Ovis aries: one gene and its partners. The protein of the gene in region 5 binds, or shares a complex with, the protein of the main gene of each other region. Links are inferred from orthologs where the notes say so. Each region holds a gene or a part of one and is shown on either strand. Other genes may lie near its edges. The genes, in order: MED19, MED26, MED23, MED8, MED16, MED31 and MED1.

Region 1 (4,544 bases), on a different chromosome or scaffold from region 5:
TGTAGTTCCCTGACCAGGGATCAAGCCCCTTGCAGAAGAAGCATGGCGCCCTAACCACTGGACTCTCAGGGAATTCCCTTGACATTTTTTTGTTTTTTTAAACTCCAAATTTTCCCCACCTCACTCATGGTTCCTTTATTTTAGTACATGGCACCCATGCTCTCTAGATATCTTTAGAAGCTGGAGTCAGTTCAAAAATCTTAATGGTTTCCCATTCCCTCAGGAAAAAGCTCAAATTCCTTCAACTTGCATTTGTCGTTGAAGGTATAAACATCCTACTGAAACATCACTAGCTGGAATCAAGATTGCTGGGATAAAGAGCAACAACCTCAGATAGATGACACCACTCTAATAGCAGAAAGTGAAGAGGAACTTTGGAGCCTCTTGATGAGGGTGAAAGAGAGTGGAAAAGTTGGCTTAAAACTCAACATTCAGAAAACTAAGATCATGGCATCAGGTCCCATCACTTCATGGCAAATAAAAGGCGAAAAAGTGGTGGCAGTGACAGACTCTATTTTCTTGGGCTCCAAAATCACTGCAGACAGTGACTGCAGCCATGGGATTAAAAGATGCTTACTTCTTGAATGGAAAGCTATGATAAACCTAGACAGCATTTTAAAAAAGTAGAGACATCATTTTGCCGATAAAGGTCCATACAGTCAAAGCTATGGACGTGGGATGAACTGAAAGATGTCCCTGAGACTAACATGTATGTCTAAAATGACTCCCGGTTTCCACCTCCTCAAACTTGTTCTTGCCTGACCTCAGCACTACCATCAATCCTGTTATTCAAGCCAAAAATTCGAAATCACCCTCAATTCCTCTCTCCTCCACTTCTATATTCAATCCTTCATTCCTGTCAGTTCTACCTCTAACATTTATCCTGCATCCATTTACTTCTTTCCTCCATTGCTATCGCCTAGTCTAAACCACCTCTTTCCTGGACCACTAAGCAGTAACATTATTGAAAGGGGGATTTTTGTAGAAACTAACGCAATAATTAATTCAGCTATTTCACTACCACTTTGCATTATTACATTCAATAGTTACAGCTGACACACCTGTAAAGTCTTCTCCAGCACCATGAGTTTCATTTTCACTTTCCGTATCAGAAAACAATCACTAAGGTTTTCTGTCTCTTTGTTGGTCTAATAGTCACATCATCTGAATCAGAACTACATTCGGAACAACTATCATCTGCTGCTGCTGCTGCTAAGTCGCTTCAGTCGTGTCCGACTCTGTGCGACCCCATACACGGCAGCCCACCAGGCTCCCCCGTCCCTGGGATTCTCCAGGCAAGAACACTGGAGTGGGTTGCCATTTCCTTCTCCGATGCATGAAAGTGAAAGTGAAGTCACGCGGTAGTGTCCGACTCTTAGCGACCCCGTGGGCTGCAGCACTAGGTGCTGCTCGGACAATAAGAGAAAGTATCTGCATAAAATTCACTGAAAAAATTTTCTTCATTCAAAACTGCATGGTGTGTCACTTTTTAAAATTTTATGAAAATAAACTTGTGTTTATAAGGTACACAAGGTTGGAATAAAAACCTAACAGAGCAAAATGTGAATGATAATGTCAATGATAAGCTGTATGATGAATCCTTGATCAATTTTAAGCTTTAACAACTTCCCACGGTGATGTTAATGGTTTCACTCTCTAAAAAAGGTATTGACATGTTTCTGGTCAATAATATGTTAAAATCTAAATGTCTAACACAGGCCTCTGCCTACACTCTCACTTTATCTATCACTCCTCTGTTCACTTCACTGGAGTCCAGCTGATCTTCTGTTCCTCAAACATTACAAGATTTTTCTCACATTGGGGCTGTTGATTTCATTTTTTTTGTATCCAGTTATTCCTTCTCCCACTCATAAATGGCTAGCTCTTTCTCTGCGCTTACATTTTAACTCTAAAGTAACCTACTCAGAAAGAGCTTCTCTGATCACTCTAGCTAAAGCAGTTCAGCTCCCTTAAATCTTATCACATTTTTTTTTCCTACAGCCGTAACTGCTTTGTGATTTCACCCTGTTACCTTTTGCCTCCTCCATGGGCACGTAAATTCCCAAACAGGCAAGGATCTTGTCAGCCTTATTCACAGTTGTATCTTCAGTGTACAATAACCCCTGGTACATAAAATAGGTGCTCAACGAAATAAGTTTTTGAATGAAAGAGTCTGGTCCAATTCTATTCACTTGTTCCAACAGATGAGGAAAGGCCCAGGCCCAGAGAAAAAAGAAAGGCAACAAACCAACAGGAAGTCGGAAGCAGATTTGGAACTAGGTCCGCAAGGATGTTAAATAAGGACTCTCAAATTCCAAACTTGAACCCTGGGTGCTTTTTCAGTTAGCCACTCAGTCGTGTCCGACTCTGCGACCCCATCGACTGTAGCCCTCCAGGCTCTTCCGTCCACGGAATTTTCCAAGCAGGGATACTGCAGTGGGTAGCCTTTCCCTTCTCCAGGGTTCTTCCCACCTGAGGGCTCAAACCCAGGTCTGCCGCATTGCAGGCGGATTCTTCACCGTCTGAACCTCCAGGGAGTAACTTTTAGGGAATCATAAAACCACCATCAGCTTCAGAGACAGGGCGGAGCGTGAAAGGCGGCCACAGAGACCCATTCTTCTCATTCCCAGTCCATCCTGAGGATTCCTGTCGTGCCTTTGGCCTTGAATTCGCAGTCGTTTCCGACACGGAGCTCCGAAATCCCCGCACGCGCCGCCCGGGCTTCCCCTCACCTCCCTCGGCATCTAGGAGCCACGCCCAGCCCCACCTCGCGGCGATCTGATTGGCCGGCTTCGGCCGGGCCTCGGACTCACCTGGCAGCTCCCTCATTAGGTAGAAGGGGCCGCAGCCTGCCGCCGACTTGTCGCTCCCGGGAGGGGCCGAAGCGGCGGTCGGGGGCGGGGCCGGGCCGGGCCCCCCGCCCGGAGGCGGTGGCGGCGGGGGGGGCGGCTTTCCGGGTCCGAAGCCGAGTGCCGCTGGGGGAGGTGGCGGGTCAGCCTGGGCCCCGAACAGCGCCGTGAAATTCTCCATCGTCCCCTCTGCCCCGGCGCCGTCCCGGTGTCTGGCGTTAATGATTCTCATTGGTTAATCTTTTCACGGGGTACCGCCCTTTTCCTCCAGGAGTCGTTTACCATTGGACTGCCTCTGGCCCTGCCTACCTTCTTCCGGCAACGACTTCCGTCGCCTTCTGAGAACGTTCAGGAAATACTCCTTAACATTATTAAATTTTCCGAGGCCTCCGCTCGCAGCAATCGCTTAACCAATGAAATGACTTAGGTAGTAAAAGCGACAGCTAGGTTAGCCAATAGCATATCAAATCCCTCTCTCACCTCCCTTACCTGCCGTAGAGGGCCAATCAGAGATCTAGCTCCGGGTCTAGAGGCGGGCCATCTGACACTTGGCCCAATGGAAACCTTCAATGGTGAGAGAGGCGGGACCAGACCTACGGAAGCCGAAGAGAGCGGCCGGTGCCTCAGGGGGCCGAGAAGATGGCGGTCCTAGCGCCTTTGATTGCTCTCGTGTATTCAGTCCCGCGACTTTCACGATGGCTGGCTCGACCTTACTACTTTTTGTCAGCCCTGCTCTCTGCTGCCTTCCTACTCGTCAGGAAGCTGCCCCCTGTCTGCGAAAGTCTCCCCACGCAACGCGAAGACGGCAACCCGTGTGACTTTGACTGGGTGAGCGACCCTCCTCGGGACCCCACGACCTTGACTGTCCCCGCCCTGGTGGTCGCAGCCGGGAGCCCCGAGGGACCGTTTTGAGAACGCCTCAGGTTCCGGGCCTCTTAGCGGACTTGACAGACTGCTAAGAGTGTAGGGCGTGGATTGTTACCGAGCCTAACCCTCCTCTTGTTTAGGGTGAGAAAGCAGCCGGTTAGCTCGCCCAGCAGTCTCAGCCTTCTGCCTTTTGAGGCCAAGCTCCTTCCCACCTCCCAATCCATGCTCGACCAGAGTCTTCCCCAGACTGGGCCCTCGCACTCTCTTCCAGTGTTGCTCGTTAATAAAGAACCAGTGAGTTGTACAAGGCGAGTAGTATTTGTAGTATTCTCGTTTTATTGATGAAGAAACGGATCTTGGCGTAGTTAGGAGACTCGTCCAAGGTCACACAACTAGTGAGCGACGAGGATTTGCAGCCACTCTTTAGCCACGGTAACAGCACACAGCCATTTCTTAAAATCAAGTTAACAGTCTCTCAGGGCGGACTGTGTGCTGGGCTGTGTGCCGCATACTGGGGATGTAAAAATAAATAAAATTGTTAGGCCTATGGAAATGGAATTGTAAAAAAAAAAAAAAAGAAAAAAACGCTGTAAAGAAATCTGTCTCAAGCCTCTTGGAGTTCTCCCTGAACTGGAATGGAGGGACCACTCAGAAAAATAACTTGAGGGGCTTCCCTGGTGGTCCAGGGGTTAAGACTGCACTGCCTTTGCAGGGGGCCTGGGTTCCATCCCTGGTCAGGGAACTAAGATTCTGCATGCTTTAAGGGGAAAAAAAAATGTAAAATAAGTTGAAGCTCTCGCCCTCTACTGAATAGCCACATACATGTTC
Region 2 (4,436 bases), about 35 Mb from region 5:
GATGCTATAGATATTCAAGTACTCCAGAAGCTAGAATTTAGAGCAAAGAACTTTCCTCTTAAGAACTCTCTTTGTCAGGGAGATGATCAGAAAATGTTACTTTGTTACTTCCCTAACTTTTTAGATACTTGTGGATATTAAGTCAGCTCCCTGACATTGACTTTTCAAGCAAAAGTTAAGTTTGTTGTCATAACTGCATGCCCATAAAGGTAAGCATTAATGACACAATTCTCAGTCGCTTGTCTCAAAAGAGGTTTAATTTTAGTGTTGGCTCTTCAACGCTGTCCCCATTTTTATTTTCCAGGAGCATCTTAAATATGTGTCAACTAACTATGCAGAAGTGGAGTTTCTACTTGGGTAAGGCAGAGAAGAGCAGCTGTGTGCTGGCAATGCCTTGATGAAGCCACCTAGCTCTCACCTGGGCCCAGTTCAATCAAGAGAAACTGCAGAAATATGGTCACACCATCTCTACCGGCAACCTATTCCTCCACAGCTCTGAGTTTCTCCGCGGAGTTTGCTCCAAGCCACACTCCTGTCAAATGGCTTGTAACAACACCCAGGAACATCACTGACAACAGCAGCATTTAAAGGAGGCACTTTCTCATCACTCATATTCAGAGACAGTACCCCGATTTTATCCACTACACTTACATCAGTAAGACTCTGAGTCGTCCCAGAGAAGCCACGTGAAATGTGCACTCCATGATACGGAACACATCCATGGGCTTGGACCCTCTTCCTCCTGTTCTCCTAGGAACCCTTTAGAGTCTTACAAAACACTGGAACCCCTGAGGTCACCGCCCCACCTAATCTACAACATGGTGACTGCCTGTTAAAGCGCCTCCTGATCCCAAAGCTCTCCTAGGTGGTATTAGGATCAGTGCTAATATCTCAGCAACCATTCAGAATCTCTGCAAGGCAAACAAGCACATGGAATTCGAGAAATTACACTCTGAGGTGAAAGTCATCAAGGCTACATTTTTCATTTCACTTGTTTTATCCTCTACTTTTTCAGTCTTGGGAATTGCTGCAGCACCAGTTACTGCAAAAATTCTGCAAGGTTTTATATAGCTTGTGCCTACTCCACCCCCAAAGTCATAACAAAAATGTATACAACATTTGTTAAAGACAAGTACCACCAAGTCTATCTTCATGGGGCCTGAAGACCAGGAATTACTTATGATACAGAAATCAGTCTTATAAAGATCACAACTCCTCTCTTTCTACCAAATTTGTACAATCCAACCATGAATTATTCCCACAGTGCTGGCTAAAACCTACTGCTAAAAGTAATCAGCAAAACTCATGTAAAGGAAAAGCAAAAGTCCCCACAGTGACAGAAACCTAAGTTACCTGGCCAAGCCGAAGATGGTTTATTTCTTCCATCCCCAGCACATTAAAGTGGTTTCAATGGCCACTTCCTGGTCTCCCAGGAAATGCAGGGGCTCACTTCATACCTGGATGCTACAACATCTTGCCATTGCTGAACCTGCTCTGGCCACAAGGGAAAATAACCCCTATCACGGACAACCACTCAGAGAAAATATGAGAATTAGATAAATCCTTCCCAACACACACGGTGAAGGGCAGGGGAGATCCCTCCACAAACAGCAGCCTCAGTGGAGCAGCACCTGAGAAATCGACACCCTGGGGTTAACCCTGACTGTCTAGGTCACAAACCAACAGGCTAGGGCCCCACGTAGGGGGCACACGAAGAAGGGCTCTGGGTGGAATGGGAGAGCACATAATCACCTCTAATTCACTACCCAAAAGCGGGGCTCTGCCTTGGTCTGATACGCAAGGAATACTTAGGCCCAGAAAGGTAATAGGAAGAATCCCACTCTCTACAAGATCATCTTCCGTTGGCAGCGACCCCAAGAGAGACCCAGCGAAGCAAGTCCACTCTCAGAACCGAAAGGGACTCTCCACGAGCCTTGGGCACCCGGCTAGGTGTAAAGGAGGCCAGGGGGGCTCCCTTCGAAGCCAGAAAGGTTCTTCCAGCCGGGAGGCAAGGTAAATAAGACTTCCCTCCTCATCGATAAGGCCGAGACACCGGCGGCACGGGCTCCCCGAGTCCTACCCCGGACACCAGTTGCTCACAGCCTTTCCCCCTCCCCTCCCCCCCCGCCGGGAGGGCTTCCCGGGGGTCGCGGGTACTATGGTAAGGGCGAGGTGGGCAAGCACAGTCAGGAACAGCAAGGGTCGTAGAATTAGGGTGGATGAGGGGGAAAAACTCTAGTCTCAGCTCCCATCTGCTCCCTTCGCCCAGGCCGCATTAAAGCCTCGGCCTCACGTACCGAGCGCTGCCGGGCTGCCCGACCAGCCCCCGGCCCGGGCCCGGGGGAAGAGAGACAGGGATGGCAGCGGCCCTCAGGGGCAGCTGGGTGTCCGGGGGATCCTTCGGAGCCCGGCGGACTAGGAGCACTAGGGAGGGGGAGGGTCCTGGGCCCACGCGGCCTCCACTTTAACCCGTGTGAGGAGTACTTACGTTGCTCTGGGGGTCGATGGCCTGCAGCAGCCGGTCCCTGATCTGCTGCGGAGACGGCGGAGCCGCTGTCATTGCCTGGGCGAGGCGGGGGGGGAGCGGCCGGGCCAGCGGGCGGGCGGGCTGAGGCGGGGAACCGGGGTCACTCACTCGCCGGCCTCCGGGAGCGGAGCCTCATGTTCCCCGCGGCGCCGGGGAAAGAGGGGGCGCGCGGGGTGACGGAGAGGTGAGCCGGGGCCGGGGCTCAGGCCCGGGGCGCCGCCACCACCAGAGGAGGAGGAGGAGCCGCCGGAGCCGTCGCCGCTGCTGCCGCCGCCTCGAGAACCAAACTCCAGTGAGCTACCCCCGCGCGAAGCACTCTGGGTAACCCGCGCCGCACGCAGCGTCGGCGCCACGCTGAGGAGGTTGGGAGATAGGGCGGGCAGAGACGCTGAGTCTGGGCGGGGCCACCTGCAGGCCACGCCCCTAGACTCCACGCATGCGCGCGCAGGCGCAGTCGCCCCCACCTCTGTTCCGCCCCACCGCTTGGCCCAGGGAGCCGTTGGGAGGCGGTTGGGCGGGGCAACGGCCGCCGCCTGGAGGCCCCGCCCCCACCCAAGCCTGGAGGTTGAGGGGGTGGCGGCAGGAGGTTTCCGACGGAAACGCTAGGTGAGCGCCGAGTCCTTGAACCCTGGCGCTCTGGGCGGACAGGGCAGATGAAGGACCTCACTCCTAGGGTAGAAAAGCTTTTCCCATTCTGACGAAGATGACGGGAATCGCGGGCGGGAGAAGCTGCCAAGTTTCCTGCGCCCCGGGGTCCTTCCCAGCTCCTCTGCGTTCGGGGAGGCCAGGAGGCAGACGTCCACGTTGTAATTCTGTGCGCGGAAGGGTCAACTGAGGAGCGCTGTGGGACGCTCCAGAGGGGGCGGTGCGAGTCGGGGGTCTGCAGCGCCTCGGGCTACGATCCCCAAAACATGAGACAGCAAAGTGTCTCACGGAGGAGCCGCTACCGCAGCTAGGAAAGCCCCGAGGCCGCATGAGTTGACACCAACGTTGCAAACCTGTGTCCACTCCGGCGTTTCTCAGCCTGGGCACCAGTAACATTTGGGGCTGGATCACTCTGTTGTAGGGCCTGTCCTGTGCGTTGCAAGATGTTCGGCAGCATCCCTGGTCTCTGCCAGTAACACCCTTTTCCTGCAGGGGACCAAAAATGTCCCCAGTCACTGCCAGAGGTCACCTGGCTGGTAGAATCGACCCCTGTTGAGAATCACTGGTTTAAAAGACCTTCCCACCCTGCTTTGCATGGTGGTGCTGGAAAACTGAAACACCCTTACCAAGGAGGAAACTGAGGCCCTAGGTCACCCAGAGTTACCGATCAAACCCAGAACTGTTAAATGTCAAGTCTAAGGGCTTCTCCTGGCCCCTCGCCTCCTCATTGCCTTCTTTCATTGCCGGCTCTCCGTGGAAGCTCTTATTACATATACGGTTATGCAAACGGGTAAGAAAGGCAGGTGAGTGAGTGGATCATTAGCCGCAGCCTCGAGAGAAATAACTTTTCTTCTTGTTACAGGAAGACCTACATTTAAAACAGGAGAGAGGCAGCTGATGAGAACCACATGCGCGCCTCGGCGGCTCTGTGCTACACCTGTTAGTCTTCCATTTGTCATGCTTCTGGGAAGCGTTTTTATTTGCAAAAAACGGCTGCTGCCCCACGTGGTTGTGGTTGCCTGCTCCTGCACGTGTGAAAAGTTTTACATCACACTTGTAGGATAAAATAAATATGGGCAAATTACCTCGCTTTAATTTATTCACTCTCCCTGCTAGAATGAGGTGCTTTGTGTACACGGTGTCCAGGTTGGAAACCAGCCCATTTGGAGATACTTTTTATCTCACTACAGATAAAAGAAGCCCTCCCCCGAGTATATTCGGGTTCTGCCATTATTTTTAACTTCTTGTCTTTTTAAATCAAGGG
Region 3 (3,853 bases), on a different chromosome or scaffold from region 5:
GGTGCTTGGGATGTAGTAAACAGGACAGGACAGACCTGTCTGTAATCATAAAAACCCATGACCCCATTTGGCTGGCTTACTGGTTTGCCCCCGGACAGCAGTAAGTTCCAGGTCTGACTGGCAATATGGAAGGCATGTTCCTGCATTGCATTACAATTCAGTGCAATTCAATGTAATAACAATTCAATTGCATTACAATTCAATTCCTGCATTATAATGTCTGTTAGTTATTATGCAGTTCTAAATAATAAACACTTTCTAATATGAAAGTGTTTTTCTGATTTGCAGTAATTCTAATTTTTTACCAATGCGGTATCATTTTAACCATGGTTGCTCTTCTTTCCAGATAATTGAAAGTCAAATTAAGCTTTCTTAGCAAAAAGGAATGGGTTATGATATAATTTGTATATTAAAAAATGATCCTCATGCTTTGAAAGGTTGGGAACATTAACTTTATTAAAATAATTTAAACGATAACTAAATAAAAATAAATGAAGACATGAGGAAGGCTAGAGCAATTTTTTCCCATTTCCTGGCTCTTTACTTTCACAGATGAACTTGACTATCATTTTTCAAATTCCAAAGAAAAATGCAAACTTGGTGTTACAATAAGAATCTGAATTTTCTTCCTTACAAAGTGAAAATGAAAGTCGCTCAGTTGTGTCCAACTCTTTGTGACCCCATGGACTATACAGTCCATGGAATTCTCCAGGCCAGAAGTGGGTAGCCATCCCCTTCTCCAGGGGATCTTCCCTTCTCCAGGGGATCAAAGCCAGGTCTCCTGCATTGCAGGCGGATTCTTTACCAGCTAAGCCACCAAGGAAGTCCTCTTCCTTATAATTAAAGTACAAATTATGGAGAAAATTGGGGATATATATGTGTGTATCTGTGTGTTTGCATGTGTGTGTGTTCATGATCAAAATCTTTGCATAGATTTTACTCGATGTGACTTTTCTTTAATTATTTTTTAATTCATAGCTTTTACTGATTGGTGTCTTAAATTTTCTTCTTCTTCAAGGTCAGCTTCTGCCAACTGTTTTTAAATCTCACGCCTGGGGTATCTTGCACACTCTTCTTGAGATGTTCAGCTACCGGATGCACCACATTCAGCCCCATTACAGAGTTCAGCTCCTAAGTCATCTTCATACTTTGGCTGCAGTTGCACAAACAAACCAGAACCAGCTCCATCTCTGGTGAGCTCACTGGAGACTGTCTTTCCTTGGATTTGTTAGAAAATTTGTTTGAGATGGCCAACTTAATCCATTACCTTATAACATTCACTGTCATAAAATTCCTCTGCTTCTGGAGTGTTTTATTTCCAGTATAGAAAAAGTAGAGTTCAACTTCTTAAATAGAAACCTACTAAGATAGTTGAATCATTGCTTGGGGAATTTGGACTGAGAACAAGTACTTCCACGACTTTGACATTGTGTTTTAACTTAGTGCTTATTTAGATTATGGTTAAAGTATCATGTTATTTTGATTTTGCTCTAATTGAAAATATATTCCAAATTTTTTGAGATGTCATTTTTGAAACGCTGTGTATCCTGGTGAGATTTTTTTTTTTAGTCCTTAAAGCTACACGCTGTCTTTTTCAAATGGGTAAAAATGCCGGATGATTTTTACTATTAAATTTGACACCTCAGATTTTTAAAAACAAGTTAAGCAAAGCTTGTTTTCACACAAAAGAGTTTGCTTTTACTCGAAGAAGAGAAATTTATAGTTTGCATGTTTCCCCATTGTGATTAACCTAGAATCACATTTAATTCTAGAGTTCTGAGTTTATATGCAGCTTAACTTCTTCATGATTGTGTTTGTTCTCCCACTTTGCAGTGTTGAGAGCACTGCACTCAGGCTTATAACAGCACTGGGTAGCTCAGAAGTACAGCCGCAGTTTACACGCTTCCTCAGTGATCCCAAGACAGTGCTCTCAGCGGAATCCGAAGAACTGAACCGTGCCTTGATACTGACCTTAGCTAGAGCAACTCACGTAACAGGTACAGTGACCATGCAGCCACCAGCCCCAGAAACAGATGTGTCAGAGGGTGCTGTGTCTCCTGACTGCTGGCCTGGGGGTGGGGGTAACACATGAGAAGATTCTCCTCACTTGTATCCAGAAAAACCAGTTGTTGTTTGGTTATCGTTACCATTTCAGTCATTAAAGCAAGTTCTTCTGTACTACCATTTTAACTTGGTTAAACATCAGTTTTTAGTCGTCTGACATCATTTTAAAGTCATGGTTCCTGAGCTTTTTGAAAGTCTCAGGGACCACATTATACTCAAAAATAATAATAATAATGATTAAAATTCCAAACATTTTCTGTTTATATGGATCATATCTATGATATTTGCTTTTTTAGGTATTACAGTAGGACTTTTTAAGATCTGACTCATTTTAAAATAACAATAAAAAGCCTATTACATGTAAACATAAATAGTGTAATTTTTGGTGTAAAGGAATATAGCTGAATTTAATGTCTGGTATAAAGGAACATAGCTGAATTCTCTTACATTCCACCTATTATAGATGTTATTTTAGAAGAAGTAAGTGAAAAAAAAGAAAACACTATGGTTTCACATAGATATGAGGTTGGGAAGGGAAAGAGTATTTCAAATAGCTTTTTTAGCTAATTATGAATCTGCTTTAATGTTACACAAAATTGAATAATTGGTCATTTCTTAAATTTTCATTGCAATATAGAATCCAAAGTCCTATCAGGAACTCTGTACTCTGTCACATTATAATCCAATTATCTATTTTGTACATTTACTGGATTTTGTGTTCATGCATATTTTAACTTTATGGGTTGGTTTTTTGGAAAACATTGATTTACTGGATTATGTAGGTAGATTTATAAATGTTGACACATTTCATTATACAGTATCAGAAAATTATATTTTTTTAACCTTGCTACAAATTTCATTAGGAAAAGTCTTTAAGTTTTAGAAAGCTATTAGGCTTGTGATAGTGGATACAAGTTATCCAAAATTCAGATTTTCGCTTGAAAGGTCAAATTTTATCATTGGTGAAAGATACAATTATTTGTTCTTCTTAAAGTTAGAGGCTCCCTTTATTAATTTTCAAGAAAAATATCTGCCTAATGCCCAAATCTGAAAAACTATATGTTCTTTCAAGTAAAATTGGGATTCCATGACAAAAGAGCTAATTTGACTCAATATTCAATCACAAGGTATTTTTCCTCAAGATAACCTTCATACTTTAATATGTAGCTGGAACACCTTATGCATGCTTCCATTTTATCACACAAGATGTTACAAACAGATGTACTTAAGGGCTGAGACATAATCTTTTTTACAATTTTATCAGAGGTAGTCTTAAGTGAAACTGGCAGTTTTTTTCCTGCTAAGAGTATGCTGTGGTGAAGATTACAGTGGCTGTGAGTATAATTTGGTACCACTGTTTGATTTGTTCCAGCGGCCAGCAGTGTTACCCAACCATTGCTTTTGCACCATCAGTGCACATTTCAACATGGGAAAAAGGCCAATGGTATCTTAGTATTATTATTATTATTATTTTATTAGTGTTGACCTCATCAAATTCTTGAAAGATATTGGGGACCCACAAAGTCTGCAGACCACACTTTGAGAATGGCTATTTTAGAGAAATAGTTACTGAATTTAGCAACCTCAAATACATTTGTGTATACTGTCTTATTTTACATAAATAAACCTCTTTGATTTAGAGGATTATAGACTATAGGTGTTTCAATCACCAGAAAAGATATCTGCTATACTTTAACAGTTCTATTTCCTTGGCTCAGTAAAGTGATAATACCTCACTGTCAGGAGTGAATTAAATGAGCAGCCGTGGTGGGCCTGTATCACTGTTACA
Region 4 (3,041 bases), on a different chromosome or scaffold from region 5:
CATCAACTTAAATAACTTTATTCAGAGCAATCCTTTGGTCCACTTCTGCTGACTCAACTCCTGCCCTTGCTTGCAAAGGAGAGCCAAGAAAGGCAGCTTAAGCTGGTGACCCAAGCCCACTCTCCTCTCCAGCTTTATAGAAGCAGGCAAAAGTGCTGGCGGCTGCCACCTCCCACCATCCACTTGACCCTTATTGGAACCACTGGCTCAGTGGACTGGAGAAAAGCCATGCTAACTGAGCCCAGGAACCAGGCATACTTTGAGGATGACTCAACCACAATGAGAGACGGTGTGAGGTGCAAGTCCCCTTTCCCTCCAAAATATGAAAGAAAAAAAAAAAAGGTCTGGAGAACAAGGGACATTTTCACTTGCTCACAAAACCCTTTCTCACGTAGTCCTGCCTGGCAGAGCCACTTCCTGAGGAAGTCCCCACCTACTGGGACTTCAGCATCTTCCCTGACATGCCCAGGGTGGGGTAAAGGATAGGGGACTCTGACTATTTCCCAGATGAGAGCTGAACTGGCTTCTGAGAGGATGGAGAGTAGAGCAGTCCCAAGCTTCTCCAGAGTTGTAAGTGGATGGTCTGTCTCAGCCCGGAGGCCTCGTCACCTGCAGCCTGGAGAGATGGCCAGGCTGGAATGTGGGAAGCAAGGCCTGTGGAGGCAGCGGGCCTCTAAGGACACAGAAGCTGTCACCATCTCTGGCAGCACAAAATAAACACAGGCTTTCAAACAAAGCTGAGCGGTCCACGATCTTGTGTCCATCAGCTCACCACAGACACGAAGCAGTTTCAGATCAGGGCAAGTTCTGGATCGAGGACCGAGGAGGGGGCAGTGGGGAGAAGTGGCTGTAGAAACTCTCATTTATTGAATACTCATTATTTCATAGATTGTGCTAAGTGTTTTACATCATTTTCCCATTTTAATCCTCACAACAACCCTATGAGGTAGGTATTATCATCATTTATAAACCAGAAAACAGGCTCAGAAAAAGTAGGTCACTTGCCCAAGGTCACACAGCTAGTTGGCAGTGGAGATGGGATCTGTCTGTGGCCGAAAGCCTGTGTTCTTTTCATTGTACCCATCCAGGTCAGCTTTGGGCAAAAGGCAGTTTCACTGCCCAACTCTGAAAAGAACACCTGGGAGTGGAGGTTGCCACTCACACTCACCGCTGGTAGGGATGCATGGAAGCCGACTTGATGTTGGTTTTTATCCCACTTGGCATTTTCCCTAAAAAGAACACGAAGAAAGACACCTGAAGCACAGTCAGATGTTCGTCATAAATCAGAAGTGTTGCCTCCCAGGTTCCCTTCTGTCATCTCCTCCATCAGCTCAGAATCTGTGGCATCTGACCTTGGGTGACAAGGCTCAGAGGTACAGCTCCCTGCCCAGCCCTCTACCTGAAGATGGTCAGGAGGAGGAATAGCGGGAAGGGCTGGAGCACATCCCTGCAGGCTCTTGCTCCTCCCCTAATGGAAAAAGAGAGCTGTCCCTTTGCCTAGACAGCTTGGAAGAAAATATTTCTTCTAGCTGCTTATATCCGAACTCCTCCAGACTGTTCTGATAATTACTAAGTGAGCAGAAGAGACAGGATACAGAGCAAGGAATACGCGTAGCACTGGAAAACCTGCCTGCTTGTCAACTCCCAACACATCTACCCAGTGATCCTAATACCTAGGGTGAGACACTGACAACACACCCACCCAGAGTTAAAGGGCACAGAAGGGTAGCTAAGGGCAATTTTAGTCGAAGTTCTTTCTCATTGTCTGGTGTCTATTAACAGAGTCTCAAATGAGACTTTCACTCTCAAGAGTTTTTTTCTGGGTCACAGTCCAAGGAGAAAAGGAGAATGTCTCCAGCCCTGGGGATGGGGTGAGGGGGAAGTGTGGCAGATAACCCAGTTTATTCTCACATCCCTGCTCAAGGTCTGTCACCAAGCCAATCCTTGTCACCTTACCTGGCTGGCCTGCTTGGGCCATCTGCACCCCACTGAGCATTGGCTGCTGCTGATTTGGCGCTCCTGCTATCTGCACCTGCTGTAACCCTGAGGCTCCTGCGAGGACTGTTCCAGCTCCCGGCTGGCCTGGCTGGCTAGGACCACTGCTGCCTGAAGGCCTCCAGTTAGACAGCCCCTTTCCAAAGGCAACAGCTGCCACTAAGGCGTTGGTATCTGCCGGGTTAAAGGTCTGCTTGTTCGGCCGGAGACCTGAAGGGCAAAGTAAGTGGAGACCCTGAGGTATGCCTCTAGCCCTGGACTTCTTCTAGCACCAGGAAGACCAGTATGAGTGCCAGGGCTTGGAGTTCTGACTTCGGTAGCATCCAGACTTCCTGGCAACCCAGAGGAAGAGCCAGAGGACCCCCATGACTATCTCAGAATTCGCCCTTCTCCCTTTGCTCCTTTCTCCACCTGCCCCAGTGCTGGCCTGAAATATAGAAGGCCAACAGAATAGATGCATACCCTTGGCTAAACAGCACATCCCTGCATCCTCATTTCACCACTACCAATACCACCCTTCCTATTCCAGTGATCTTATCCCTCATTCCCCCATCACTTTGCCACCAATCCCTCCATACCTCCACTCTCTGATTCTCGTTCCTCTTTGCTGATTTTCTCCAGGAGGTTTGAGCACATTTTGTTCAAGCTCTGGATCTGTTTCTGTAACACATGTAAGTTTGTGCAGAATTTAGGGCAAGCAAGAAATGATTACAGGAAAGGTTCTTCCTTGAGCTATTCCAGGGGCAATGGAGGCATAACCAACTGCCATACCCTACAATAGAGAAGTGGGAATACTCAGCCTCTTATGGTAAAACTCGAGGGTGTAGGGCAGCAGGGCAGGGACTCGGTCCAACCTGCGCTGCGTCAGCACCAATGCGAGCAGCATCCGTGGTGAGCTGCTTCTCTTGCTCTTCAACCTCAGGGTCAGGCTTGGTTCTCAGATGGTCAGGGACCACCTCGTGGCTGAAAACAGGTACCCGTCCTTCAGTCTGCCTCTGTAACACACAGATTTTATGATCCTACTGTGCACTCCAAGAAGATTCAAT
Region 5 (3,853 bases):
ATTCTGGTGAGGGCATGGAGAAAAGGAAACCTTCCTACATTGTTGGTGGGAATGTAAGTTGGTGCAGCCACTGTGGAGAACACTATGGAGGTTCCTCAGAAAATGAGCAAATATCCAGGCAAAATTATAATTCAAAAAGACACATGCACCTCAGTGTTCACTGTAGCACCATTCACGACTGTCAAGACATGGAAACAACCTACAGCTCTATCACCAGATGAATGGACAGACATGTGGCACATAGACACACAAGCAATATTGCTCAGCCATGAAAGAGAAGAGTGCCACTTTCTGCAGCAGTGGATGGACCCAGAGATTATCATACTAAGTGAAGTCAGTCAGACGAAAAAGAAAAAAGACAAAAATCACTTGATATCACTTACCTGTCAAATCTAAAATATGACAAATGAACTTATTTACAAAACAGAAACCAACTCAAACAAAGAATGCCAATTTATGGTACCAAAGGGGAAAGAGGGGAGGGATAAATTGGGAGTGTGGGATGAGCAGACACACACTGCTACATATGAGCAAGATGAACAACAAGGTCCTACTGTACAGCACAGGGAACCATATCCAATACGCTGTCATAAGCCACAATGGACAAGGTATGAAGAAGACCATGTGTGTATACATATGACTCAATCACTGTGCCATATGCCAGAAACAACACTGTAATCCTTACTATAATAACTTAAAAAAAATTATCCAACTAATAATTAAAGACCATAACAAGTGAAAAAAAGAGAAAAGAAAAGAAAAAAAGAATGCACTTACAGGCTGAGATGTAGTCAGGGGTAGCTGAGGGGCATGCGCCACCAGAGCCCCCCACACAGGCAGTTCTTGATCCAGCGCTGCTCCCACTGCTTGACGGCGGTGGTCTTGTTGGGAGACTTGAGCATGGTGACGCAGCCGCACCTGCAGATAGAGCAAGCAGGTGGATGGGATGCTAGGCCGGCTGGCTGTAGCCACAGGGCCTGGCACATGCTACTGCACCTCAGGAATGGTGTTCCCTGCACCCCTACACCCCACACAGTGAGCTAATTCCTCCATATCCTTCTGTCTCCACTCAATACCACCCCTCACTTCCCTGAGTAGACACAGGCTTGGCCAAGCCTAGTGGGGTGGCCCTGGGGTCATCTGGCAGCAAGCGGGGCCACATGTGCATGAGCAGCGCGGAGCGGCCACGCCTCCATCTCTGCCCTTGTCAGGCCACTGGGAGCTCCAAGAGGGCAGGCTTGGGCCAGCCGCTCGCCGCTACCCCTCACCTCGGCCCCACCTTTTATCAAGATCGCCAGGGATACCCACTCAGGAGCCCCAGGCAGACACAATCCTGGGACCCTGGCTCATAGGCTGGGAAGCTGCCAGTGGTGGAGTGGAACAGCATCTCCTGCAGCTGCTCACCTGGTACACGCCTTGCAAGCCTCTGTGGGGTAGGCGCCCAGGTGCAGCCTCCGCAGGTGGTCCATCTTGGGCTGGCCTGGCACCCTGATGGAGAGGAGCAGGGGAAGGCTCGGGGGTGTGCACATGCACATATGCACATGTGCACTGGCGCACACATGCACATGCAGACACAAGCGCATGCGCACACACAGCTGTATGGGTCAGTCTCCTAGAGGCAAAGCATGTGTGAGAGCAGGGAGAATCCGGGAGCCGGACTCCTACACACCCTCCGCGCACAGGCCCCTGCTGAGGGTGGCACCTAGAGCAGAGTGGGGCGAACCCATCAGGATTCCTGAGGCTGGGCACTCGTATCACCCAAGTTTGAAAACTTCCGAGAGTGTGAAAGCCCTTTGGCCACCAGCCACCTCTCTGTGTAAAGTGTTTCCTGAAACTCGAACACAAACCACAGTGTGTGATTCATCAGGACGTTCCTCCCACGGCTTTAGAGATGAAAAAGAAAATCCGGAAGTGGAGGAGGAAGGCCCAGAGTCTTCCCGGCGGTGAGGGGGGCTGTGGGGATGCTAAGGCCCCTCCCCAGTAGAGGACCATGTGAGAATCCATCCCACGACACCTTGAATGGGAGGCGGCCTGTGGGGTCCTAGGTTCGCCTTCTGGCCTGGTGTCTATCTCTGGACTGCACCTTGGAGATTGAGTTTACCTGCCTGTAAAGTGGGGACAAACCCCCACCCAGGGTGCTGCTCCCTCAGCAGGCCTGGGCTTTCTGGACTCCGCACACCCAAAGAATGGCCCCCGAGGTCACTCCCAGCCAGGTCTGCCTAAGAGTGTTCTGCTTTCTGGGGCCTTGGGACCTGCCAAGCACTCTGGGCTGCAGTGCGATATATAGTGGGGGTCGGGGGGGGGGTGTGTGAACCTGAGCTCCAGAGGGGCTGGCTGGAGCCGGAGTAACCAAGGTTGGCCACATGGGCCCTCCACATGGGCCATGACAGGCCAGGGGGGAGATGACATCACCCAGACAAGCAAGGACACAAATCTGTACAAGACAATGACCTGTACACTATAGTACAATATAGTGCCTGGATGGAGGGAAGTGACAGGGCAGGGGAGGTGGGTGAGGAGGGGAGGAGTCTGGGGGCAAGGAGGAATCTCAGGGGCAAGGGAGGGGAGGAATATCGGGGGTAGCACTCAGGTCAGGCTAGAAGGAAGCAGCAGGCACAGCATGGGCAGAGGCCCTGAGACAGACATGTGACAGGGGATGTCAGGCAGGGGAGACCCTTCTGGAAGAAAGGGTATACAGGGCCCTGAGTCAGAGGTGGGTGTGCATACCTGATGAGGCCATCCAGCTGCAGGCTGCTGGAGCCACCAGGAAGAGCAGGGGCCTTGCCAAAGTGCAGGCGCAGGGGCTGCTTGGGCTGCAGGCGGCTGACCAGTCCATCACTCACAGGCAGCCAGTCCAGGCTGGGGATGAGCAGCTGACTGGGCAGTAGGCAGCACTCATCCACCAGCGCCTCGTCTGGCTCACTTGTGGGACCCTCATCACGACCTATGGGGGGAGCAGGGGACGCAGGACATCATGCTTAGCGGCCATGCCCACAGCACTGCCCACCAGGAGGCATCATGGCTTCCTCCAGGCTCACAGAGTGCCAGGTGCAGGCTCCAGCCCTGCCTTGACTTCTTGAAGAGCCTGGGAAGCTCCCTCCCCTTCTCGGGCCCGGTCCTCTCCTCTGTAAAATGGGGACCCATTTATTCATTTAAAAAATGTGCAGCGAGTACTGGGTGCCCTTCTTGGCATCAGGGAGGCAACAATGACAGAGCCTGGTCCCAGAAACACATTACACAGGACAAGTAGAAGCCTAAGAGTGGCTGATGTTTACTGAGCACCCACGCTGTTCCTGGATCTGTGCTAGGTGCTGGGGAAATAGTAGGGGGGCCACAACAGAGCAAATTTGACCTACGGGAGATTACATTATGGTGGAGGACTCAGCCAGGGCAGGAATTTTGGTGGGGAAATGAGAGAAGAGGAGCAGGTGTCTTACAGCAGATCCAGAGCTTGGTGAGCAGGCGAAAGAGCAGGGACATGCTGTCCTGAGTGTCTGAGGTAGCCGTGTACACAGGCAGGCAGCTAGGCTTCAGCAGGCCCCAGATACGGATGACAACCATCAGCTCTCGCAGCATGCCCAGCGATGTGCCATCCCGCAGGAAGCTGTGGCCTGGTCGCAGCGGGGAGCCCTATGGGGAAGAAGGTTCTGGTTGTGCACTTTGTGTTTGAACATTCCAGGACCTCTGAGTTGGCATCAGATGGCCTTTGGGGAGGGGTGGGGGCAAGGAGGTGGGGCTTCTGGGAGGAGCTAAGCTGGAGGAGGTGGGGCAGAGGGCACACCTGGTTGGGCAGACTGGCCAGCAGGTAGAGCACAAAGTCGCCCACCCACTGCAGGAGCTGCTGCAGTGCCTG
Region 6 (4,347 bases), on a different chromosome or scaffold from region 5:
CAGGGTCAAAACTCAAAACATGAGTTAAAGTTACATAGAGGTATATCATGTTATAGGACTTCCCTGGTGGCTCAGACGGTAAAGCATCTGTCTACAATGTGGGAGACCTGGGTTTAAGCCCTGGGTTGGGAATATCCCCTGGAGAAGGAAATGGCAATCGACTCCAGTACTATTGCCTGGAAAATCCCATGGACAGAGGAGCCCGGTAGGCTACAATCTATGGGGTTGCAAAGAGTCGGACACAATAATACAAGGAGGAACTTTCTGGAATCTAGCTAACAACGGAATTGGCTGCCCCTGAATTAGTATGTGTTCACTAGAAACCTCCAGCCAGTATACAGATGACCATCTCAGCAATGTTGTGGGTAAAATTGAACCTGACGGTGTCCAGGGCTCAGTGTCCAACACTGAGTCTCTAAGTCTATAATACATACATATAACATGTTGCAATCTAGTAAAAAAATATATATATTTTCTCTGGATTATTAAATGAATAAGTGGTTCTTTTATAAAGGGCCAGTAAGGGTGGAAAGGGTCCCACAGGCAAAAGGAGGATGTGGACTTCATAAAGCAGCTGTTATTAGACAGAGAAAAGTGGCTTGGCCAAAGTACAAGTCTTAAACATTCTCCTCTCAAACTTGTGTCTGTTTAGGGGAAAAAAAAGGCTAGACATTTCACCACTGCTTTTTGACTACCTATTTAAGACAAAGCAGAGGTGGGTGTTCAAGGCTTATTTTTTATCATTAAAAAGAAATGTTTGTGATTACAATATGCTCCTTGCATTTCAGTAAGCCTTAAAACGAGAGTATCTATTGCACAACCTGAATGATAAATTCATGTATTTATTATGTAAGATATATAAAATAAGAAAGCAGCTATTAAGACTCGGGTACGGTTACCTTCTCCAGAAACCCTTGCTTACAAGTAAGTACCTCTTTCTATGTTTTTTCATTTTCAGGCTATGGCTGTCATTGCATATATGGACTGCGGGTTCCTTGAGGTCAGAAACTCAGTGAGATGCAGGGAGTGGTACAAGATAAGGTCAGAGAAGACAGGGACAGATCACACAGGGCTAAGAGACGAGATTTTCTTCTGCATGCAATGGGAAGCGACCAAAGGGTTCTAATGGAATGTAATTTCTATTTTTAAGAGACCAAGTTGGCTTCTGTGCAGAAAATGTTTCTTCTTTGTTTGGCAGGGCAGGGAGAAAGGAGGAATACCAATGAGTAGATACTGCAGTAATCCCAGTTAAGTTAGAGATGATGTGTCTCGTATTAAAATGGAGGCAACTGAAAGGAGAGCAGAGATTCAACAGGTATTTTTTCCAACGTGAAAGTAAGAAGTCTATTAAATATCAGTGCTTTGGAATATAATAAAAGTACACACATGTTTAGGACTATAAAAATTAAACTTACTTTAGATACTTGGCATATTCTGGTTCTTTCCAGTAAAGCAAGTACTTAAGATAATTAACAAAAGCTTTATCTTTGAAGTAACCTCTTTGGGCAAGAACTGAAAGGCATAAAAAAAAAAAAAAAAATACATCTGTAGAGCACACCAGTCCTTGGACTACTGATCTGTGACTAACATAATCGTAAAGAATTTACTTACATAACATTCCCACCACCAACACACACTGAATTCAAAACAGAAGTCCCAGTTTGCTCAATTATATATACCAGTATAAGTGCAACAGTCATTCCATTCAGTTAAGAATGTACAAAACTAGATACTAAAGTCATCTCTCAGAATCCACAGGGAGTTGGTTCTAAGAGGCCCCGCAGACACGAGAATCCACAGGTGCTCCAATCTCCTGTACAAAACAACATAGTGCCATGACAGTATTGTCACCCTCAGGATGGGCAGATTCCACCAACTGAGGTTGCCTCCAAGGATACAAAGGGCTGACAGTACTATGAATTTTGACTCTTCTATCAGAAATCGTAACTAGCTATTCACTTCAATGAGGTGCTCAACAACTTACAGTTAAGGTAATTTGGGTTGGCTAAACACTGTACAAATTCCAACTCCAACTGAAACCGCAGTCGATTTCCAGCATCATCTAGGAGAGAAGATAGCAAAATCATCCAAAATAAATGTCACTGTATATAATACTGATTTTTAGACAGAAAACAGCAGTACAGACATCTGACTAATGCTGAGTTACATAAAGAAGAGCATGCAAAGGTTTTCCTAAACTGGGTGTAGGAGGAGAAACACCTTCCTTATAAGTCTAAGGAAAGCAAAGCCCTGATTAAGAAAAAAAAAAAAAAAAAAAGGTTTATCTAAAGTTAAATTATCAAAGAAAACAAGATTATACATGGAGCAGAACATTAATCACTCGTGAGCCACCATGTTGGGACTTCACAGTGATCACTAGGATAAGCTGCAGCAATGTGCCTTGCCTTATTTTGATAGTGCGTTACAAGCTGTTAAGTGATCAAGCTTAGCAAAAACAAAATGCTAAATCCATCAAGAGACGTTCAGAATGCAAGATGAAAGAGACCCTGGTGAGTATCAAGAAACGCGTGCTTACGTGAGACCCGTTAGTGGCACAGTAATACAAGAGTTCGCTGACGATATTTTAAACTTAGGCAAGCTCATCTGAGATGCAAAAAAACAACTCGAGGAAGCGGTTTATGATCCAAAATCTCTCCTTTAGTCTTCTGGAAGCCGGTGGGGCCACTGTTTGAATAACTAACGGGGAGAAAGGATCGGCCAACAAAACAAACTCTGAAAAGGCCAAATTACCTTCGCCCTTCCAGTCGCTAAAAAAAAACCCTGGTGCCTCCCGCTCCGATCACTCACTCTGCCGGGAGTTGGGCCTGGATTCTCAAAAAATCCCGGGAAGCAGGTGTCTGGACCCGGGACAGTTTCTATTTGACAAAACGCGAGGCTCAGAGCGCTACTCACCTGTCTCCATAGCGACGGCCGCGGCCATCACCAGCAGACACTCTTAAGTCCCCAGCAACCCCACACAGCCAGGATCGGAGAAACAGGGAAGGTCCGGAAGTCGCAGCGTCCCCTTCCTGCCGCGGGGCAGTGTGGGATGCGGGGGTGGGCACAGCTTCGCAAGGGGGCGGGTGGCTCCGCCCATCCAGGGCCCGCCCCGCCCCAACCCCGCCTCCACCCGGACAGGTTCTTGACAGGCTAAGGGGCGATGCGGGGGCAGACGGCGCTCTCGAGGGGACGAACCCAGCGTTCCCAAGGAATCTTAGGCCTCCCCGCCCCAAGATCACGGTGCCTCCACGTGGTTCGCGGGACCCTCGACCACCGCTCTGCCTGCATCACAATGGCATGTGACGTCGCTCCTCACCGTATAAAATAATCCTTCGGGGATTGTGGGGCTGTGGGGCCTCCAAAGGTCAGCTTGGCCCTGTTACCCCCATAAGATGGCCTCACCCCTTCGGGGAAAGCCCTCTCCGGCCCGGGCGGAATCCATCCGCTCCGAGGAGACGGCGACGGTCAGCGTGGAGACCTCGTCCCACCGCGTGGAGACATCCTACCGTCACGTGAGGACATCTTCCCGGCAGGTGGAGACCACCCAGCGCAGCAGCGAGGGACCCTCCGTCTCCTCCTCTGGGAAGCGGCTCCCTCGAGTCCTCGAGGTGTCCTCCCAGCACGTGGAAACCGCCTCGCAGCTCACAGAGACGGCTTCCCGCCACGTCAGGGCCTCGTCCCTGCGGGTGGAGACGTCTGTGCACCGCGTGGAGAGCACGCCGCGGCGGGAGAAGCCAGCCGCCCGCCATAACATCCAAAAGGCCCGATGAAATGCTGCCTTCCTCGGGGCCACGAGGGGGCCATGGCCCTTGGCCAGGGCAGAATCGCCTCCAGTTCGCAGCCTGCCTGCTGCCAGGTGGACCGATCATCTTTGGTTTCCTGGAAACAGTCCACAGATCAATTTAAGAAAGAGCCAAGCTGCGGTTTCGGGATTTAGCCAACATTCATTGACCCTCCTGCACCTTGGACCAAAGGCAAGCCTTTGACCCAGTGAACTATTTTAATTTGAAGCCAGCATAAAAAGTTTTTAGGCTCTAGATACTGTATGTGTTAAGCTGATGGAAAAGAGACTGTTTGAGCCTCCAAGGCAGGTGAGTTTTGAATTGGGGGCCCTTTAAATAACCTTGGCTGCTTCAAACCTGGAGAAGGAAATGGCTACCCACTCCAGTATTCTTGCCTGGAGAATTCCATGGACAGAGGAGCCTGGCAGGCTACAATCCATGGGGTCACAGAGACCTCGACACAACTCAGCGACTATCACTCACTCACTGAATGACCTTGGCTGCTTCAAACTTAGGGACAAGGAGCAAACAAATCATAATCAGTGGAATTATATGCCAGCTGCAA
Region 7 (4,383 bases), on a different chromosome or scaffold from region 5:
TTAACACATTAGAATCAAGGAGCTTGACAGGAAGTAAAAAGTAAATGTTTCTCTATATCAGGCTATCACATGTATCTTTTTTTTTTTTTTTTTTGGCAGCACTGTGGGACTTGTGGGATCTTAGTTCCTCAACCAGGGATTGAATCCAAGGTTACAGTAATGAAAGCTGGGAATCCTAAACACTAGGTCACTAGGAAACTAATTACGCTCTGTAAGTGTTTCTTACAACTTTTGCCTAAAATATCCCAGCTTACTATAACTCATGATTAACACAATTCTATTAACATATCTTCTTCTTAGGTAGACTTAAAAGTTGAAAGCCATCATGTTATGAGAAATAAAACTGAAGACACACCATAATGACTAGCTAGAAAAAGTCTACATAGGTAACTTAGCTTATCAAATAATTTTCTAAGCACAACACTTTATCCAGTTCACCATAGTCCTCACCATGACTTGACGCACAAGCTTAATGGTTTCACTCCAAGGTCTATTTTGGTTAAATTTTGCATGGAGCCGTTCCAAGAGAGAACTCATCTTACTCAGCTTTTCCGACTCTAAGATATAAATCAGAAAAAATTATTAGCAACTCTTCTTTCAAGACCTTCCACAGTTTTTCTTGCAAACAAAACTCCCATACTTCATCCTGGTACGAACTCAAGTTAAAATCTTATCCAATATCATTTACTTCAAAATACACAAAGAATTCATTTCTAATAACAAGTAGACAGAAATTATGGGCCTAATCTAACAACACTATAGAAGGGGACTGCTTTCTCTTCAGACTTAATGAGAAGCAAAAAAAGAACCACCTCCAGTCCTGAGGATCAAGACTACTATTTAATGACAAAATAATTTCATGATAGGCATGAAATCCTTTGCATGACATATGCAGAGCATACATTTGAACATGGCCTTACTATAGTTAGTTGGTTTTCAATGTGAAAATAAAGACTTTCTTAATTTTTTCACATAATTTTAAGAGATCAATTTGTAAGTATTATCAAGAAAACAAGCTTCATTTGCCATTCAGCTATTTCCTGTTCGAATTCAAACTATATGAACAAAGGAAATGTCAAGTGACTAAAGGATGAGTTTCAGGCAAAGGTAAGAGAAAGGTAGAAAAGAATGGATCCCAGATAGTGTTTGAAGGAACCTCCTATAACCTCCAACACTCCTGTAATTCTTTTAACTGCTTAACATGAGCAAGGACTGTGCTGGAGACCAGCAGTGCAAAAATACAATATGCCTGAGATGACATCTGTGAGGGGGTGTGGATAAGTTAATGTGAAAATAACCATCATACAAAGCAAAATGAGATATGCTCTTAAAAATAGAAACACATTACTATCAAAATTCAAAGGAGGAAAAGTGTGTAATTAGTTTAGGGATGTTACAGAAAAGATGTCTTGAAAGATGAATAGAATGTCAGCAATCAAAGATGAAGTAGTGACATCTTCAGATCGAGATTCAACTCCTCCCTCCAAGGCCTTCATCTTCTGGAAAACTGTTCTTGGGGCTGTTTCATTCAGTTTATAATTCTGGAGAAATGTTTGGCAATTCCCATATTTCAGACATTCACTCAGGCACTATTTTACATCTCAGAGATACAGCAGTGAGCAAACTAGACAAAATTCCTGCCTCACTAAGATTCCACTTACACTAGTCATTCGTCTGCACCCTTTTTTCTTTCTCCTTCAAACACACCTCCCTTCTCTCCCTTAAGGCGGCCGACGATAAATCTTTACAAAAATGCTTCAGTGAAACGTTTTTTTGAGCAACTATTATGTGCCCGGAGAAGGAAACGGCAACTCACTTCAGTGTTCTTGCCTGGAGAATTCCATAGGTGAAGGAGCCTGGTGGGCTGCAGTCCGTGGGGTCACAGAGTCGGAAACGACTGAGTGACTAACACAACAACACAACATTATGGGCCCAGGACTATACAATGATGAGTAAGGCAAGATCCTGCTCTACAAAGCTCAGAGCACATTGGAGAAGACAAAAAAATAATCCTGTATCAACAGAACTATGTCCAAAATGCTAACGGAGCATCTAAGCTGAAATGTGGAACTTTAGAGAATATAAAGTTACACAGAAAAGTGTTTTTCAACAGTTTTTAGTTCAGATATTTAAAGACTGAAATTAAAAGCATTTTAAAAATATACAATACTACAAGATATGAACGCTGTGACATTTTTTAAAACTACTGGCTTTTAATACCATAAGGACCTAATCATTTCATTCACGACAAAACATCTTACAGTACTTTGATATATAGCGTCCTATTATTGTTTTATGTCATCATTCAGATTTCTCTTTTGAAGAAGAAAGTTTTACGTTCACTTGCCCGGTCTCCCATCTCTTTAGGCTAAAAAATGCCCTGAGGCCCAAATGTTGCCCCTTGCCAAATAGGAAACCTTCACACTCAAGTTGGGAGCCCCCATCTCCCCAAAGTCGAAGCTCTCCATCACCAAGGAAGGCAGTCAGAATCTAAAACTCAGACATATCCCGCCTCCTAGATCCTGAGCCCTCGGGAGAGTGGCCCCCGCGGAGGCATTGGCTCCCCCAGCTGTGTCCCGCCCCCTGATCTCCCCCTCAGTCACTCACCCTCGGTCTCCCCCTGAGCCTTCATCCTGACGGCGGGGAGGGCCTAAGTCCTACACAAGAGGATATGCCCTTCCCCACCAGTAATGGAGGAACCAAGTTGGTTCGGGCTCCCGGGACGCAGGGAACCTGCAGTCCCACTCTTCCAGGGAAGACTCAGTCTGAAGTCCCCGGCGGCAAGAAGAGAAGGGTGCTCGCGGCCGCCGCCATCTTCCCCAACGGAACTTCCAAAAGATCGCGAGATTAACCGTGATCCTGCGAGAGAGAGAAGGGGGAAAGGGGCTGGGCACCAAATATCGCGAAAAATGATTTATACGTTGCTTCTCGCGAGATTATCCCCACCCTGCCTGCTCTCTGGTTTGTCTCCGACTTCTCAGAGCTAGGCGTGGAGCTTGTGTAGTGCTAGTGTTCAACACCTCTGTGGAAGTTGGCACTTTCGATTTGGCTTTCAAGCAGTTTGCAAAGTAAAAGCCCCAGCTGTCTTTACTGAAATGCTAGCTTTTCGAAGAATATTGCTGTTAGGAATATTTTATTAAAACTTTCCCTTTATTGAGATACTAGACGTTGGGTCTTTGTAACACGACGTCCCAAAGTAGCCCAGTACACTTAATTTCCATTACCGAATTTCCTTTTTAATTTCAGAAATATTTTTCTTGAGCATTTTCAATATTTCTGAGGACGTGGAAGATTTTGAGTTAAGAAAAACTTGTTTGCAACAGTCATGAGTTCAGGTGAGTCGCTCAGTCGTGTCCGACTCTTAAAGACCCCATGAACTGCCTGTCCATCACCAACTCCCAGAACTTGCTCAAACTCATGTCCATCCAGTCGGTGATGCTATCCAACCATCTCATCCTCTATCCTCCCCTTCTCCTCCTGCCCTCAACCCTTCCTAGCATCAGGGTCTTTTTCAATGAGTGGAGTCTTCGCGTCAGTCAGGTGGCCAAAATATTGGAGCTTCAGCTTCAGCATCAGCCCTTCCAATGAATATTCAGTAGTCATCGATTATATTTAGGATCCCAAAGGTGTTCACAATGGATTGTATTTTTTTTGTAGTCAGTAAAAGCAAGCAGGTTAGCTCACACTCTACACTACAAATCACAAAGAATGTGTGGTCCTGTCTCTTGTATCAGTAAATTTTCACGAAGAGAAATCTGGATTAATGCTGAGAATTTAGAAGTTCCTGCCCATTGGAACAAGAACCAGACTAAAATACAATTCTACTAGCTCTGGGTGGAAGTTCTTAAAATAGTTAAGGTTACTCTTTTTTTTTTTTCTTTATTATTATTATAATTTTTTTTTGAAATACATCCTTGAGAATAACTGCTGAAATTTTACCTAATTTGCTGTAAGGATATTTAGCAATGGATTTCCAGTGGCTCTTTAGTCTCAGACTTTTCCCCCATATTTCAAAAATGATATGCAAACATCCTCCAAAACAATTCCTGCTGGTAACTACAGTTCAGATGAACAGACAGATAAGAACAAATCTTTATTTGTGACATGTTTATTTCGACAAAGATATGTATAACCATGCTCCTTGAAAGTAGAATTAAAATTTACTTCTTGTCTATTCCTCTTACCCTCATTCCTTTCAGTCACTACACAGAGAGTTTTTTGAGGCAGTAATTGCTTCTTATTTCGAAATCCACACTACCTAGCATTGTACCTGGGCTTAGTAGGCAAATCTTTTACTGGTCCTAACATTCCTCTCTCAATCTAGCTCTTCTCCCCTTGCCAAATCCCAACCACACTGACCTTCCACCTGCAGACAATTCCTTC

What was found.
Region 1: MED16 (region 5) and MED19 share a complex: the UniProt entries of both Homo sapiens proteins name them as parts of the mediator complex. The link is inferred for Ovis aries from reciprocal best matches to the Homo sapiens genes MED16 and MED19.
Region 2: MED16 (region 5) and MED26 share a complex: the UniProt entries of both Homo sapiens proteins name them as parts of the mediator complex. The link is inferred for Ovis aries from reciprocal best matches to the Homo sapiens genes MED16 and MED26.
Region 3: MED16 (region 5) and MED23 share a complex: the UniProt entries of both Homo sapiens proteins name them as parts of the mediator complex. The link is inferred for Ovis aries from reciprocal best matches to the Homo sapiens genes MED16 and MED23.
Region 4: MED16 (region 5) and MED8 share a complex: the UniProt entries of both Homo sapiens proteins name them as parts of the mediator complex. The link is inferred for Ovis aries from reciprocal best matches to the Homo sapiens genes MED16 and MED8.
Region 6: MED16 (region 5) and MED31 share a complex: the UniProt entries of both Homo sapiens proteins name them as parts of the mediator complex. The link is inferred for Ovis aries from reciprocal best matches to the Homo sapiens genes MED16 and MED31.
Region 7: MED16 (region 5) and MED1 share a complex: the UniProt entries of both Homo sapiens proteins name them as parts of the mediator complex. The link is inferred for Ovis aries from reciprocal best matches to the Homo sapiens genes MED16 and MED1.

Annotation. Positions count from the first base shown.
Region 1 is NC_056068.1:79,749,982-79,754,525, forward strand, and holds the start of MED19 (mediator of RNA polymerase II transcription subunit 19), read right to left. Parts: upstream 3,064-4,544; 5' UTR 3,031-3,063; coding exon 2,814-3,030; intron 2,756-2,813; exon of another isoform or gene 2,133-2,755; coding exon of another isoform or gene 2,033-2,132; intron 1-2,032. Other genes in the region: TMX2 (thioredoxin-related transmembrane protein 2), read left to right, coding at 3,489-3,677. UniProt on the Homo sapiens protein: Component of the Mediator complex, a coactivator involved in the regulated transcription of nearly all RNA polymerase II-dependent genes.
Region 2 is NC_056058.1:6,188,834-6,193,269, reverse strand, and holds the start of MED26 (mediator of RNA polymerase II transcription subunit 26), read right to left. Parts: upstream 2,822-4,436; 5' UTR 2,561-2,821; coding exon 2,489-2,560; exon of another isoform or gene 1-2,488. UniProt on the Homo sapiens protein: Component of the Mediator complex, a coactivator involved in the regulated transcription of nearly all RNA polymerase II-dependent genes.
Region 3 is NC_056061.1:57,023,385-57,027,237, reverse strand, and holds part of MED23 (mediator of RNA polymerase II transcription subunit 23), read left to right. Parts: intron 1-1,018; coding exon 1,019-1,193; intron 1,194-1,833; coding exon 1,834-1,997; intron 1,998-3,853. UniProt on the Homo sapiens protein: Required for transcriptional activation subsequent to the assembly of the pre-initiation complex. Component of the Mediator complex, a coactivator involved in the regulated transcription of nearly all RNA polymerase II-dependent genes.
Region 4 is NC_056054.1:18,063,923-18,066,963, forward strand, and holds the end of MED8 (mediator of RNA polymerase II transcription subunit 8), read right to left. Parts: intron 2,991-3,041; coding exon 2,850-2,990; intron 2,656-2,849; coding exon 2,574-2,655; intron 2,206-2,573; coding exon 1,957-2,205; intron 1,230-1,956; coding exon 1,165-1,229; 3' UTR 845-1,164; downstream 1-844. UniProt on the Homo sapiens protein: Component of the Mediator complex, a coactivator involved in the regulated transcription of nearly all RNA polymerase II-dependent genes.
Region 5 is NC_056058.1:41,098,787-41,102,639, forward strand, and holds part of MED16 (mediator of RNA polymerase II transcription subunit 16), read right to left. Parts: coding exon 3,782-3,853; intron 3,631-3,781; coding exon 3,438-3,630; intron 2,945-3,437; coding exon 2,728-2,944; intron 1,489-2,727; coding exon 1,405-1,488; intron 919-1,404; coding exon 792-918; 3' UTR 778-791; intron 1-777. UniProt on the Homo sapiens protein: Component of the Mediator complex, a coactivator involved in the regulated transcription of nearly all RNA polymerase II-dependent genes.
Region 6 is NC_056064.1:25,114,996-25,119,342, reverse strand, and holds the start of MED31 (mediator of RNA polymerase II transcription subunit 31), read right to left. Parts: upstream 3,009-4,347; 5' UTR 2,942-3,008; coding exon 2,914-2,941; intron 2,063-2,913; coding exon 1,985-2,062; intron 1,513-1,984; coding exon 1,416-1,512; intron 1-1,415. Other genes in the region: C11H17orf100 (uncharacterized protein C17orf100 homolog), read left to right, coding at 3,393-3,770. UniProt on the Homo sapiens protein: Component of the Mediator complex, a coactivator involved in the regulated transcription of nearly all RNA polymerase II-dependent genes.
Region 7 is NC_056064.1:39,607,013-39,611,395, forward strand, and holds the start of MED1 (mediator of RNA polymerase II transcription subunit 1), read right to left. Parts: upstream 2,842-4,383; 5' UTR 2,633-2,841; coding exon 2,608-2,632; intron 558-2,607; coding exon 451-557; intron 1-450. UniProt on the Homo sapiens protein: Component of the Mediator complex, a coactivator involved in the regulated transcription of nearly all RNA polymerase II-dependent genes.